Arabidopsis thaliana: one gene and its partner. The protein of the gene in region 2 interacts with the protein of the main gene of each other region in a pairwise test. Each region holds a gene or a part of one and is shown on either strand. Other genes may lie near its edges.

The links.
Region 1: the proteins of AT3G01690 (region 2) and AT1G02410 interact in a two-hybrid assay, tested with the Arabidopsis thaliana proteins (one large-scale study listed by BioGRID).

The regions. Positions count from the first base shown.
Region 1 is NC_003070.9:489,115-495,563, reverse strand, and holds AT1G02410 (cytochrome c oxidase assembly protein CtaG / Cox11 family), read right to left. Parts: upstream 4,705-6,449; 5' UTR 4,558-4,704; exon of another isoform or gene 4,331-4,557; 5' UTR 4,265-4,330; coding exon 4,185-4,264; intron 4,077-4,184; coding exon 3,761-4,076; intron 3,658-3,760; coding exon 3,605-3,657; intron 3,479-3,604; coding exon 3,406-3,478; intron 3,317-3,405; coding exon 3,212-3,316; intron 3,122-3,211; coding exon 3,041-3,121; intron 2,958-3,040; coding exon 2,802-2,957; 3' UTR 2,601-2,801; downstream 1-2,600. Other genes in the region: ARFD1B (ADP-ribosylation factor D1B), read left to right, coding at 1-1, 75-214, 305-389; AT1G02420 (Pentatricopeptide repeat (PPR) superfamily protein), read right to left, coding at 406-1,881; AT1G02405 (proline-rich family protein), read left to right, coding at 5,067-5,471; GA2OX6 (gibberellin 2-oxidase 6), read right to left, coding at 6,173-6,418. UniProt on the Arabidopsis thaliana protein: Exerts its effect at some terminal stage of cytochrome c oxidase synthesis, probably by being involved in the insertion of the copper B into subunit I.
Region 2 is NC_003074.8:252,488-261,578, forward strand, and holds AT3G01690 (alpha/beta-Hydrolases superfamily protein), read left to right. Parts: upstream 1-3,807; 5' UTR 3,808-4,265; coding exon 4,266-4,567; intron 4,568-4,831; coding exon 4,832-4,868; intron 4,869-4,969; coding exon 4,970-5,206; intron 5,207-5,300; coding exon 5,301-5,348; intron 5,349-5,430; coding exon 5,431-5,892; 3' UTR 5,893-6,209; downstream 6,210-9,091. Other genes in the region: SEOR1 (sieve element occlusion amino-terminus protein), read left to right, coding at 317-759, 832-941, 1,019-1,161, 1,253-1,500, 1,596-1,857, 1,997-2,293, 2,388-2,759; AGP11 (arabinogalactan protein 11), read left to right, coding at 6,494-6,904; AT3G01710 (TPX2 (targeting protein for Xklp2) protein family), read right to left, coding at 7,504-7,749, 7,827-7,890, 7,985-8,050, 8,142-8,200, 8,265-8,507, 8,602-9,091.

The sequences.
Region 1 (6,449 bases), on a different chromosome or scaffold from region 2:
GGTAACAAACAAACCTGACTTCTCTAAACATTGAGCAAGTCAAATAATCTAATGTTTGATGCCGTGTATAACAGATACAAGGGAGTGTACCGGACAATGTGGCTGTTCTTGTATTTGGAAACAAGCATGAAGTTCCTGGTGCTATGTCTGCTTCTGAGATCAGTAACAAGCTTGATCTCACTTCTCTTCGTCAAAAAAACTGGCAGAGAAACTGGTAAGAAGATAAGAAAAACCTTTCAAGACTCTAATTTTGCGATTATGATCGATTCTTCTGATGATCTGTTTTTTGATTCTTGCTTGCTAGGCATGTCCAGAGCTCATGTGCATTCTCTGGTGATGGTTTACATGAAGGACTCGACTGGCTGTTGAAAAATGCTGAAAGAATGTAAGAATGTGTCTTGGTTGTTAACGCGGAATCTCTGTACTGAAAATAGCCATCTTTTGTATCAAGTTATTAACCTCATCGTGCTTATTTGCTAGCTCCATCAACAACTTGATCCTTTTAAACGAGACATTACTCGGTCTATGACCTTTCTCAACCATCTCAAGCAAACATTTCTCAGCTTCTTCGACTTTAGCCAAATCACAAAGCAAATCCAAAAGCACATCTGAAACCAAACTATATGAACCAAAACCTTTTACCACCATATCTTCCCACAACCGCATCGCCATATCCACTTTCTCGTGTCTCTTAAACATCTTAATCAAGAACATACAGGATTGTGTATTCGGCAAACACTCATTCCCCAACATTCTCACATACAGCTCCCAAGACCGTCCCAAATCATTTGCCAACGATAAAACACGGAAAAACAGATTATAAGTAGTCGCATTCGGAGACAAACCCTTCTTCACCATCTCATCCACCAACTTATCCGCATCCCCGAGCCTCCTCGCTATGCAAAAATTCCTAATAGCAGCATTATAAGCCGCAACATCAGGATAACACCCATACTCCTTCATTTCCTTTAAAACTTCTCTAGCTTTATCAGGCTGACCGATTAACCCCAACCCACCTATAACAGTTGTATAAGTTATAACATCGGGAGTTTCCTCCTCCTCTCGCATCTTATCTATCAACTTATAAGCTTTCTCAATCTCTCTATCCTTGCAATACACATCAATCAAAGAGTTATACGTAACCACATCAGGTTTTAGCCCCTTTCCCTTCATTTCCTCGAAGAAAGCTTCCGCTTCTTCCGATGATTTCCAACCCGATAAAAGTATATTAAAAGTCTGCAAATCAGGCTGAAACTGATGCTTCAAGCTATGATACACATTCCTAGCATCAGTCATACTCTTCTCTTGGCAAAGAGTTCTCAAGAGAGCATTGAAACAAGCCGTGTCAAAGAAATCAGGAACCAATCTCTTAAACTTCCAGAAAGATTCAACAGTTTGTCTAACGGAACACAACTTAGCAACTCTACCTAACACAACTTGCATCGTCCTTGGAGATATCAAAGATCGATCCTTACGCTTAGTCTCAATCAAAAGCTCCCAAATTTGATCGAACTTTCGATTTCTACCGAGAATATAAAGCATTGTATCTAGAGAAAACGAAGAATGATAAAACCCTCTTATAGCACTAGCGTACCTGTAAAACTCTAGGGTTTGAATTGGGTTCCCATGACTAAACCTTACCCTTTTCAAAACCCTATCGATTAAGTCCTTGGACAAGTGGATTCCACTAGAGCTCAACGATTCCTTCAATTCCACTTGCAGATTTGATCCATTTATCATCCGGAAAACAGTTTCTGCGTCATCGCCTTCTTCTTCTACAGGAACCTTCGCATCCGATAGTGCCACGCTGTGAAGAAACGATACAGAGAGACGGAAATTGGAAACGTGGTGAGAAGATAAAGGCTTGAGGATCATCATCATTTGGAAATCGTCTAACAAAATCCAAAATCTGAGCTTTGGTTCCAAATCGGAGAAGAAAAACCGAAGCTCGCTCTCTCTGTATCAAACTAATTCAATAACCAGAATCATTCTACGTCTTTAGTTAGGTTAAAGACGAGAGAGCGGCAGAATCAAGCCGCGAACCAAAATCAGGATTTTGTGATTTTAACCAAATAAAACCGGGATATCATCACCCAATCCAATAGTGTTTTACTCGTTCGGTTTGGTGGTTAAACCAAATCCACCATGTCAAAAGTCAAATAATAACTACTACTGATCATTTGGGCCTGATGGCCCATAAATTATAAAATTATAGTGGGCTCATCGTTTAAGTCTCGTTTGGGGGTTGACTCTCTCTGAACTCTGAATAGTTTTTTGTTTCCTCTCAAGACGCGCAAAACTGTTTGGTGCACTAGTGTTGTCTTCATCTTCTAGATTCTTCTCTTCTTCAATCGGAAAAACTTGTTCGCCGTAAGAGCTTTCATTTTCATATCTCTCCTTTGCTTGAAGAGAGTTGGGACCAAATCGATTTGGAGAAAGAACAAGAGAAGAAGAGGTGGTTTCTCGACTCTGGACAATGATTGCAGAGGAGGCCCATTAAAACGAAGCCCATTCTCAAAGCATCCCATAAAATATCTACAGACGATATTTAAATTTTTCTTCAATCAGAGCCAAAGAGACAGTAAAAACCGATATCCTTATAAACTTAACGAAAAAAAAACGAAGAGAAGAGCTTATAGTGAATTCATTTTACCAACATTTTTCTTCTTTTTTCTGTTCCGTGGGTTTTGAACATTGGTTTCCGAATTTGGAAATTGGTTATTAAATCTAAGAGAGACTGTTCTTGCATAAGGTTGTGTCACAAGATATTTTGTAGCTCTTAAAAAACATGGACACTTTTTTTAATTGGTTTCTTGAACTGGAACAGAGTTGTTATTGTTGACCGTCTCTGTAGTATTTTCCTCTGACACTTTGAAGAAAGTGTAAGACAATATCAAGTTGTTGATTCCGTCCATTCTTGGATCAGTCTCAAACTCAGGATCAATGTAGAAGAAGACCTGCAAAACCAAGAAATTATAGGTTTTAATGGACTCTTGATTTTATCTGAGGAGAATATAGCCAAGAACAAAAGAGTAGTTACCGGCATGTCAATCTGCTCTCCAGGAAGGAGTCGCTGCTCCTCAAAGCAAAAACATTGTATCTTGTTGAAATAAACTCCTGCCTGAAGAAACCAATATAAGATTTTGAGAATCGACCAATCTATGTTCTATGGGAAGTTAATAGGATCCACTACCAAGGCTAATATATATACCTTCATGGGAGTGACATTGTATGTCGAGACTCCGGTTATTGGAGCTGAACTTTTGTTTTCAGCAGTGTAAAATGCGAGTGCACTTTCTCCTGGCTTTACTCTAACCTATAAGAAAGTACCAAAACCAAAAAGACATATCAGTTAAAAACACACTAATTCGTCTCAACATTCTTCTTGAGATATAAAGTCTAAACCTCTCTTTGTGTTGGAGTGAACTTCCACTGCATCCCATCTGCAACATCAGCATTGAACTGCACCACAATCTCCCTGTTTACCAGACAATCATAGTAGAGAATATAGTAAGCTAGCAAGTTCATTATAAACACATATAAAGAAGAATGGTGTTAAGAAACATATAAAGAAGAATGGTGTTAAGAACAGAGAAATAAACACCTTTCAGTGACGGTACCAGATTCTGAATGCCTAGCAATCTTCTCCTCAACAGTCTGTAGTATAAAGCCAAACAAAAAGACTGAGGAAGAGCCACTAAGTAGACTTGAAAACTCAAGAGGATAAAAATAGAAAGGAAGAAACAAAAACGATATATACCTCTTTGCGTTGAACAGTACCTCCATATCCAGTAGCTTGGCAGAATGTTCTATACAATGGCACAGCAGCGTAAGTTAACCCCACCATACCAAAGACAACAGCGGTGAGGTAATAGAGCATTTTCTGTGATTTGGTTTCCGATGGAGAGTGAGTAGAATACTGGCGATGGGCACTATCTAACATCGATTTAGCAGTAGCAGAGTGAGAATTCAAGCTCCATGAAGAAGAGCTTCCCCAAAATACTCTCTTGCTTCGGAGATAATGCTCATTGCTTTTACAAGCTCCATGAGTGTAATAACGAGAGCATAAAATAGTCCTACATCGACATAAACATTTCTCACAAACTTAATTCTATAAAACTGATAGAACTTCTCTTTGAGGAATTTTAACAAACAGTTCATGCGCATGCATAAAATTCAATTACCTTGGATACTGAGATGTTCGATGAAGGTTCTCTAAATATGAAGAAATTCGAGTTCCTCTACAAGCTTTCGACCACGACATGGCCGAAGAGAAATTATTTTAATCTATCGACACAGTGAGACACAGACACCACACAAAAACACTTATCTGCACAATAAACACGAACCCAGATTACATTACTTGAAAATTTCGAAAATTTGAAACCCAATTTCTCCCTTCCGCAACCTCCGGCGAGATCAATAATCGGGGGAAAAAAAAAAAATCACCCGAGCGTAATCGAATCAGAGGCCAAGAACGATGCCATGATCGATTAAAGAATGTAACCTATCAAAGAGGAAGCACGCGAAAGGAAAAGAAGAGAATAGAAGACTTACAGGTAAACCAGACGGCGTGCTTGTGTCGTCGGCGGGAGGGAGATCAAAGACGTCACTGGAAAACAAACAAAAAATCTGACGCAACAAAAAAAAAAAAACTTGTGGATTAAAAAAAAAGTCAACAAGTCAAACAACGACTTGTCTTTGTGGTCTGGTAAGAATAAAGATAGTCGGTTCTTTCAAAAAAAAATTATTCACATCCGTTCAGTCGAATTTTTAATTGTAAGCCCATATTATTTGGCCCAATAAAGCCCAAATGAAAATTAGAGTATACAAGGAATATTGTCATTTCATACTTAAATTTAACGTGTTTATTACATGTATCTAATTTTGGACAAATCTGCTGTCATTTAAGATTTCCATATCTCCGATGTTATTACGAAATTATTTCATTTATTGTGATGGATCTCTCTGTAATAATCTTCCACAAATAACTTCACTAATATACATTCCATAAGTTTGATCATCTTTTTATATACACAAGTCTAAGCCCAAAACATTGTTACAACATGTCGCCTAAAACTCGCCGATCGACGGATCTTGCGGCCACAATCCTCATGGCTATCGTGATCCTCGCATCTCCGATCATAATCAACGCCGAAGATTCTTCAGCCGAAGTTGACGTTAACTGCATACCTTGTCTCCAAAATCAACCGCCTCCGCCTCCGTCTCCGCCACCTCCTTCTTGTACACCCTCCCCTCCTCCTCCGTCACCACCACCCCCGAAGAAATCTTCCTGTCCACCATCGCCTCTGCCGCCACCGCCACCTCCACCTCCACCTAATTACGTATTCACATATCCGCCGGGAGACTTGTACCCTATTGAAAATTACTATGGAGCGGCTGTGGCAGTAGAAAGCTTTTCGGTGATGAAGCTGTTCGTGTTTGGAGTTATGGTTTTTCTGATTCTTTGATTATGATCAGAAATTATTTATGTTGTTGTTTTCGAACTTCTATAAGGTTTGCATAAAGATTTTGTTTACTTTTAACGGATTGGCGTATGCTTTAGATACAGTTTTTTTTAATAATTATAATCGATTGTGGATTAATTTTTATAGTTAGGGTCAGATGTGGTTCATATTATTTGGACTTGTCCCCTGCAACCTTTTATAAAACCTTCAAATGAAATCAAGCATACCTAGATAAGTAATAGCCGATTTTGTATAAAGAGGTTTTAATTCGTGTAATTATGATCGAGAGTACAACTGCAGTGGACCAAAGAGTCCATTGTGATCGGACGCGTTTCATGGATCATAGTTTCTACCGATCAGAAGCTCAAGTTTATTTTTATTTTTATCATAAGTCGTTTTTTATGATTGTGATGTACTGATGATGCATGACTTGTAGACTTGTAGTTGAAGAAAAAAAAGGTATAATTTCTCTTACTGGAATGTTTTAGAGCTTTTCTTTAGAAATTGCAATGATCCACTGATTCACATGTGAAATTAGTAAATTACAAAGTAAATGACCAAAACTCAATTTTCTTTTTCTTTTTGTTCATCTAAATCTATACATTTCACATGGTATATATTTGTAACAATCCAACAATCATATTTTCTTTTTCAACAAGCAAAAAAAAAATAAAAAATCTAGCTTTCAATGGTATGAATATAATCTATAAAGTCTTGAAAAACTCGAGACGAGGGACATCTAAACGGAGAGAGTATGTAGCTTTTTTGTAGTCACCCCATGTGAATGAATTATAACGTCTTGGATTTTCCGGCGACACCATTTTTGGCAACGGTGATATTTTCGCCTCTAACGGTGGAGCTGCAAAGTACATCGCCGACATACGTGGCTTCTTTGCTGTGTTTGCTAAAACCCTATGCCTCACGCTAGTGAATCTCCCATTCGTCAATGCCTATTTTCAAAGATTATTTCATTAATTAATT
Region 2 (9,091 bases):
TTGCCACAATTCAAGTGATTCTTTGTTTAGACTTTTTTGGCTCACCAAAATAACATCCAAGTTATTAGGTTTCGTTCGGGCTAAATTCGGTGTGTTTTGGTTCAGTTTCAGGATATTCAGTCTAAATATAAATATGTTGACCATCTTGGTTCGGTTAGGTTGCGCAGTTTCCACCTACCCCTAGATATCAATCTTTGTGGTTATAGATGCTCTTATAAACCACACTCTCTAAAGATTGTTGTACACGTAACCAGCAATAACTTGTTACAGAAGCAATACACTGTTTACGTGGTTCTCTCTCTGTTCTTCTTTTCAGATAGCCTATAAGTCTCTGACGGGATCTGATTCACACGAAATCACAATGTCCGTGTTCGAACACCTCTCGAGCTTCCAGTGGGACGGCAAGCTCGTGCTGACTCTAGCAGCGTTCGCGTTGAACTATGGAGAGTTTTGGCTTCTGGTCCAATTCTACTCAAAGAACCAGCTTGCTAAGTCCCTAGCTATGCTCAAGCTCGTCCCTGTGCAGAACAGAGTGACCCTAGAGTCTGTGTCCCAAGGGCTCAACGATCTCATCCGAGAGATGAAGAGCGTCACGGCATGTGTAGTGGAACTCAGCGAGTTACCTGATCGGTACATTACACCAGACGTTCCTCAGCTGTCGAGAATCCTCTCTACAATCCCAATTGCTGTCTATTGGACCATAAGAAGCGTCATCGCTTGCATTTCTCAGATCAACATGATCACTGCTATGGGACATGAGTATGATAATTAACTTTGTTTTAATCGATCTTTCTATTGATCACACGCTAACGCGTACACTTTATTTATCAGGATGATGAACACGCAAATGGATTTATGGGAAACATCGATGTTAGCTAACAAGCTTAAGAACATACATGACCATCTCGCTGAGACCTTGAGGCTTTGTTACCGGCATATAGGTTTGTTTGTTTGTTCCGTCCCATTCAACAGCTATTCATCACCCTGTTTCTTTACTGACAAAGACTGGAATTTGCAGAGAAGCAGAGGAGCTCAGAGTCCTTAAAGGTGTTGCATTCTCTATTCGACACCACTCACATTGATAACATGAAGATTCTCACGGCCTTGGTTCATCCCAAACCCCACATCACTCCATTGCAAGATGGTTTGACCAAGAGAAAGGTTTTCGTGTTAGGTTTTTTTTTATAGAAAGGTTCATCAATACAAAAGATTTTAACTAAGAAATCTCTGTTCTGTTATATGAATGTTGCAGGTTCACTTGGATGTGTTGAGGAGGAAGACAGTGTTGCTGCTCATCTCTGATCTCAACATACTACAAGATGAGCTATCGATTTTCGAGCAAATCTACACAGAGTCAAGGAGGAACTTGGTTGGGGTCGATGGTAAGAGTCATATGCCTTACGAGGTTGTGTGGGTTCCAGTAGTGGATCCTATTGAAGATTTTGAAAGATCTCCGATTTTACAGAAGAAATTTGAGGATCTCCGTGACCCTATGCCATGGTATCTAACACATTTATTTCAAAACACACATTCTAGTAGTTGTAAAGAAAGATGGAGAAATATAATTGGAAGTTATTTTTTTTTGTGGGGGTCAGGTATTCAGTGGATAGCCCGAAGCTGATAGAGAGACATGTGGTGGAGTTTATGAGAGGGAGATGGCATTTTATGAACAAGCCGATACTTGTGGTGATTGATCCACAAGGCAACGAGGCTAGCCTCAATGCGCTTCATATGATCTGGATTTGGGGCACTGAAGCTTTCCCTTTCACTAGATCTCGTGAGGAAGAGCTCTGGAGGAGAGAGACCTTTTCCCTTAACCTCATCGTCGACGGCATCGACTCTGTCATTTTCAACTGGGTATTTCAAAAGTCTCATCCTTTTTTCTTTTTATGATTGGCCTGGAAACTCTAGAAACAGAGCAGGCAGGGTTTGACCTAAATTACATTCATTCAAGAACGAGGCGTGATTAATGAACAATGATGGGTCTGATTTGCAGATAAAACCGGATAATTACATTTTCCTGTACGGAGGAGATGACTTGGACTGGATAAGGAGATTCACAATGGCGGCCAAAGCAACGGCCAAAGATTCCAACGTGAACCTTGAGATGGCTTACGTCGGAAAACGAAACCATAGCCACAGGGAACAGATCAGGCGTATCAGTGAAGTAATCAGGTCTGAAAACCTGAGCCATAGCTGGGCCGAACCTGCCTTGATGTGGTTCTTCTGGACTAGGCTCGAGAGCATGTTGTACTCCAAGATTCAACTCGGTAAAGCCGATGATCACGACGATGTAAGAGTTGACTAGCTAGGGTTTTCAATTATTTCGGTTCGGTTCGGTTCAATTGGTTAATGAATGATTTTGTGTGTTTGAAAACGTTGATTAGGTGATGCAAGGAATCAAAAAGATACTAAGCTACGACAAGCTTGGAGGATGGGCACTACTGAGCAAAGGACCTGAGATAGTGATGATCGCTCACGGTGCCATAGAGAGGACTATGAGTGTTTACGACCGGACCTGGAAAACCCACGTCCCGACCAAAGGCTACACCAAAGCAATGTCCGACCACCACCACGATGAGGTCCTCCGTGAAACCGGAAAACCTTGCGGCCACTTTGATTTCCACATCACTGCTCGGAGCGGTCGGATTCCGGAGAAGATGAATTGCTTCGAGTGTCAGCGTCCGATGGAGAAGTACATGAGCTTCTCTTGTTGTCACGATGAAAAGCTCCACGAAGACGAGAACTACAACTTCTAAATGATGCAATAAGCTCACGTCTCTTCCCGCTGCTTTTTCTTTTTGTTTTACGTAATTTGAATTCTCTATATAGTTTTTCATAAATAATTTCTGAATTTCAATATCTTTGTATGAGAGAGAATTGGTCATTCCATGTGTGTGGTTTGGCCTTTGTGGGACATGTTCGATTGAAGTATTCCTAATAATTTTCAATAATTAACAATTTCTTCTCTTAATAGCATAGATAAATGTTGAATTTATTTTGTTAATAAAATTAACCCTGATGAATACAACAATTTTGAATATGTCAAATTAGACCAATTCAAAATATAACTATTTGCTTTCTTTCTTCTCATAATGTTTATATATCCCACTTTAGTAAATGGACCCCCACGAAGCACACCACAGCATACTCTTTTTTATTCTTTCCAGTTTCTAATGGTTTACTTATATACTCTTATCATTTTCTAATTGATCAATTTGTCATTTATTGGCTTATCTTCTTATAAATGTTTTTTGTGTTAGTTGTTGATATCTCATTTTCTTGTCCAGTGAATTATAGCATTTCAATGTGTCCCTCATGTCGTCAATATAATGTTTTATTTTCCTTGTTATGATCCATATCTTCATGTGTGGTCCATCTTCAAATAAAGAATGGATTGTTACTACTCTTATCGTTTGGGCTAGTTTTTATAATTAGACACAAAATTTGTAACTTTCATTCTTTTTTTAGTATTTAACACAAAGTAATTTGATGGATTAGTCTAAATAATAAAGGCAAAAAGTTAAGTAAATGTCAAAAGAGATATGGCATATGTCTAATCATAACCAATGAATTGCATGGTTCTATCTAAATAGCAACCATATCATCCCACATGCCATTGTCCACCTTGTCTATCTTAGGAAAACACTTTGTTTGTAACTCTATTGTACTCTTTGAATTATGAAATCTATGTAAACCCTTCTTATTGTGGGGGACAAAGGCTAATTTTAATGGTCTGTCCACTTCTGCTTGACTTTGATACATAAATTAGGGGTGGCTCATGTCATATCTATGAGAATTAGGTACAAAAGAGTTTTCAAATGAGCAAGTTGTATTTTTATTCGATTAGCCGTCGTATTATGTCAAATATAAGTTAAAAATATGTAAAAGTACAAAATGTAGATTATGATATTAGGGATGAATTGAGATAAAATTACCTATAATTTATTACTACGCATAATAAATAATTTGTTACGTTAATTCTCATAGATACGTTATAGCCAATACCGAACCCCTATTTAAGTCAAAAGTACTTCTAAGTATTTTTTAGCGTAAATCAATTTTTATGAAAAGCAACAATTAAGATTAATGTAGTAATCTAGTAATCGTTAAAAAAGCCACTTTGTTAGTATTGCTTAATACTCTCTCTCTCTCTCTGTTCCCAAGGAGATGAAAAGCTTCAATCTCAAAACATAGCAGCTCTCTCAATAAACCAAACCCAAATGCAAGCTGTGTAGAGAGAAACGGAGTGAGGAAGGAAGGAGATGGGAGGGGTGACGTCATCGGTGGCGGCGAAGTTTGCCTTCTTCCCGCCGAGTCCACCGTCTTACAAGGTGGTGACCGACGAGCTCACCGGACTGTTGCTTCTCAGCCCTTTCCCCCACCGCGAAAACGTAGAAATCGTAAAGCTTCGGACCAGGAGAGGCACAGAGATCGTGGGCATGTACGTGAGGCATCCGATGGCTACCTCCACGCTCCTCTACTCCCATGGCAACGCCGCCGATCTGGGACAGATGTATGAGCTCTTCATTGAGCTTAGCATCCATCTCAAGGTTAATCTTATGGGGTCTGTTTTTCTTTCTCTCCCTTTGTAATTCGATTGATTTTATTATTATGATGCTGATTTAAAAATGTTATCTTTGTATGCTTCTTTTGATTGATTTGGTATAGGATTTGCCCTGTTTTGATTCTCACGTTTCTAGCTCTGTTTCTAGTATTTGCTCTGTTTATGTTTGGAGTGTTTATTCACCACCCCAATAAAAAAGGAAACTTGGGCTAGGATCTGCTTGGAATCAATCAGTCTTTGATATTATTGGTTGTGATGTTGCAGATACGATTACTCCGGGTATGGACAATCTACTGGAAAGGTTTGTCCTTTACCCCATCAATCTGATTGGTCTGATGATCCATTATGAGTTTTAGGACCAACTCTCAAAAATCTTTCTTTCTCTTAAATGATTGATTGTAGCCGAGTGAGCATAACACGTATGCTGATATCGAAGCTGTTTATAAGTGTCTTGAAGAAACCTTTGGCTCTAAGCAGGAAGGTGTCATCCTCTACGGCCAATCTGTAGGCAGCGGACCTACGTTAGATCTTGCTTCCCGGTTGCCTCAACTTAGAGCCGTCGTCCTTCACAGCCCCATTCTCTCCGGTTTAAGAGTTATGTATTCCGTCAAGAAAACCTACTGGTTCGACATCTACAAGGTAGACCACGTACCAATTCTTTCTATTAATCCTACACATTCTCCAAATTGTAATGTAAGAAGCTTGTTGTGTGTGAGTGTGTGTTTTTCCGCAGAATATCGACAAAATCCCATATGTCGATTGCCCGGTTCTCATCATTCATGTAAGTCAGGTTTCAGATAGATACATTTTCGTTTGAATTTTTGATAAGCTTTTTGGATCCAAACAGTTTCAAATATGTGCAGGGAACTTCGGATGAGGTAGTGGATTGTTCTCATGGGAAACAACTATGGGAACTCTGCAAAGACAAGTACGAGCCGCTCTGGGTGAAAGGAGGGAACCACTGTGATCTTGAACACTACCCTGAATACATTAGACACCTCAAGAAGTTCATAGCAACAGTAGAGAGATTACCATGTCCGAGGATGAGCAGCGACCAATCAGAGAGAGTGAGAGATGCGCCCCCGAGGAGAAGTATGGACAGGAGAGTGAAGCCGAGGCAGAGCACAGAGCGTAGAGAGAAAGAGAAGCCACCAAAGAGTCAGTCGAAGATGAGTAGCAGCAGCAGCAAGCTCAAGATCTCGTTTGATCAACTTGATCGCTCGCGGAGGAGCGTTGACTGCCATGAAAAGACTCGGAAGAGCGTTGACCAGATTGAGAGGGGGAGGAAGAGTGTGGATAGGTTGGATAGAGTTCGCTCCGAGTAAAAACCACACACTCACACTCACACACGTATAATACGTATGTAGATGAAAAGAGTACATAACTGTTTCTATTTACCGAACAAAATAACATGTGGATGTCGCTCCTCATATTATTGATTTGTAATCTTTTATGCAATTTGGGATCTCTCTCGCCATCTCCTTTTGAATCAACAACCTTTTGTGGTGGGCTTGAATATCCATCCTCTGTTTTTAGATGAGTTTTTAGTGTTTGTGGTAAGTAGGAAAGTTCCAAAACAAAGATCACACATCTCATGTGGGCCTGAACTAAATTCATGGCCCAATCGTTTGTTCTTAATAGAAATCCAATTTTTAGGATCTCGCTATCTTTTGCTACGTACAAAAATTAATATATACAAAAAGTAGCTCACTTCTAAAATAAGGCTAATGGATGCCCATTTTCTTCTCAAATCCATCGATTTTCCTAAAATTTCTCAAATTTCAAAACATATAAATCCATCTCATTGTCCTCTTGTTTTCCTTCATCTGAAGCTTCTGCAGTATTCAAACAAATAAAATATACTGCTTTAGCTTTGGACACCTCCTCTTACTAATCTCTATAACTATATTTAAAAAGTAGAAAATAATGGCACGTCTATTTGTCGTAGTTGCCCTTTTGGCTTTGGCCGTGGGCACCGTATTCGCCGCCGATGCACCTTCAGCTGCACCCACCGCCTCACCAACCAAATCCCCAACCAAGGCTCCTGCCGCTGCACCCAAATCCTCCGCCGCCGCACCGAAAGCATCATCCCCTGTTGCTGAGGAACCCACCCCTGAAGACGACTACTCTGCAGCCAGCCCCAGTGACTCCGCCGAGGCACCCACCGTCTCCTCCCCACCCGCTCCTACCCCCGAAGCCGATGGTCCCTCCTCCGACGGACCCTCATCTGATGGACCCGCCGCCGCCGAGTCACCCAAAAGTGGCGCCACGACTAATGTGAAGCTCTCCATCGCCGGCACTGTCGCCGCCGCCGGATTCTTCATCTTCTCTCTCTAAGTTTTGTTTTTTAATTAAACTTGAGACGGAATCATAAGATTCACATTATGAGATGAGGCCGTATCTCTTTAACTAACTAACTATACTATATACAGTGATTTATATTAATCAAGAGATTGAATGGAGTTATTATTATTACGTACCGTTGTTGTACTATGTTTTTTTTGATTACGTAATTTTTGATGATTGTGAACTTATTAATGTTTATTTAGAAATTAAATGAAAAACAAATTTTTCAAAGAGGGCATTTGGTCTAGTGGTATGATTCTCGCTTAGGGTGCGAGAGGTCCCGAGTTCAATTCTCGGAATGCCCCCTTTCTTTCTTATTTTGTGTTTTCAAATCATATATAAACAAAGTTTACAAATATTCATACAATGCAATCTAGTAAAATTCAATATTCCTTCTTGGAATAAAACCAAATACAGTATGTCAACAATTCCAAACTAATCCTTTTTTGAGGCAATCCGGTTTTGATAGTTCTCCCCACAGCCACAGGCGCTAAGTCAGCGCAATATCTCTCTGAAAGATGATGATAGGGAGTTTCTGTAAGACCTCTCTGCTACTGTAACAGAGCCTACAAAGACCACACAGAGAACTCTCAGACACAGAAACGATGGCTACTATCTTTTTCTTTTAGTACTTCACACATACATTTGGCGATTAGTGAAAGTAAGCTTACTTTCTTAGTTTGGTCTGTTGATTTTGGTCTCTGTTTGTAGAAATTTGGAAGTGGCTTCGCTTTGAAGCATAGCCTTTGCCTTAGTTTACTCTCTTCCTTCTCCACACTCCTCTCCTCCGCCTTCTGGTTCTGTGTCTCCATTTCCTTGAATTTCCCCTCTAGCTTCTGAAACACAAGAACCAGTTAAATGATGGTAAGTGACAAGACAAAAGCGTAGAAACCAAAAATATCTCTATTCTTGCCTTTTTTCTTCTCTCTGCTCTCTCCTCTGTTCTTAAGCCAAACGGTGTAAAACAGCTCGGTGTCCTGCTTTTGTTTTCCAATAACTTGGTTAAAAAGGTACGTACACATTATACATTTTTGAATTGAGTAAACTCTTATGAAGATCAGTTCTTCTTACTCCGCAGGGAGGAAATTCCATCTTCCTCGACCTGTCTTGGCAGAAGAATTAGGAGCTATCTTCCCTCTGCACTTACTGTAACACCTGATTACTTCTCTAACCACTCGTGAATGAAGGAAGTAAAAAGAAGTTTTCTAAGAGTTAATTCAGTTTTTACCTTGTGTTACTCGATAAAGGTGTGGACAAGGAGTCTTCAACCATTCCCTTTGCAGACACCTGCAATCATCACAAGAGCATAAGCACTTGGTTGAGTGAAACACAGTTTAAAGAATGCAGTCACCTTGTTTGATGGTGTCCGGAGAGGAGTTTTGCAGTCTTTGGTTGGTTTAGAAGAAGCTCTTGACCCATCAATCTTCCTTATGATGGACACCAATCTATTGAACTCTTTTGCAGGCGTGAAAGTGTACGAGCTGCTCTTGTTATTAGACTTTTTACTTGGAGTCCTCTCCGATGAATTGTACTTAGAGACTCTTGGTTTAGTACTACTCTTTGGTTGTGAATCTTTGGATTTCTTCTTCACAGACTGTTACAGATCAAGAACAATAGAAAAAAAAGTCAGAGAGAAAGAAAACTCTTAATCACCATCTCTTAATAAATACACATGTATAAATATATACCTTTAGTATAGGTTTCTCCTCATCTACTTGTTCTTCAGCTGTGCGGCCATTGATCTCTGACTCAGCCATGCCACAGTTCTCTTTCTCATCAGATTGTCTATTACTAAATCGGCCTTCTTTCTCTGCAAGTAATTTCAATTGAGCAGAAACATCTAAAGATCCTCTTGGAATCTCAAGATCCGGTTTTGAGACCATCCAATCTTTCTTTTCTCCTTCATTGATATCTTCTTCTTGAACTGGAGACTTCTCTGGTTGGGGTTTAGGGATTTGCTGCTGAAGCAAGAGTGCCTCTTCAGCAGCAGCTTTTCTAGCAGCAGCGACTTTCTTGTAGTGAGCTTCAAAGAAAGCTTTCTTCTGAGCAACAGATCCGGGCTTAGAGTATCTCTCTGCCTCAGCCACGTAAGGGTTCTGTGTGGAGAAAGCAGACCATTTCTCCCAGTCAAGTTTCTCCGACATGAATCTTCCGAAGGACACAGACTGTCCTAAAGCA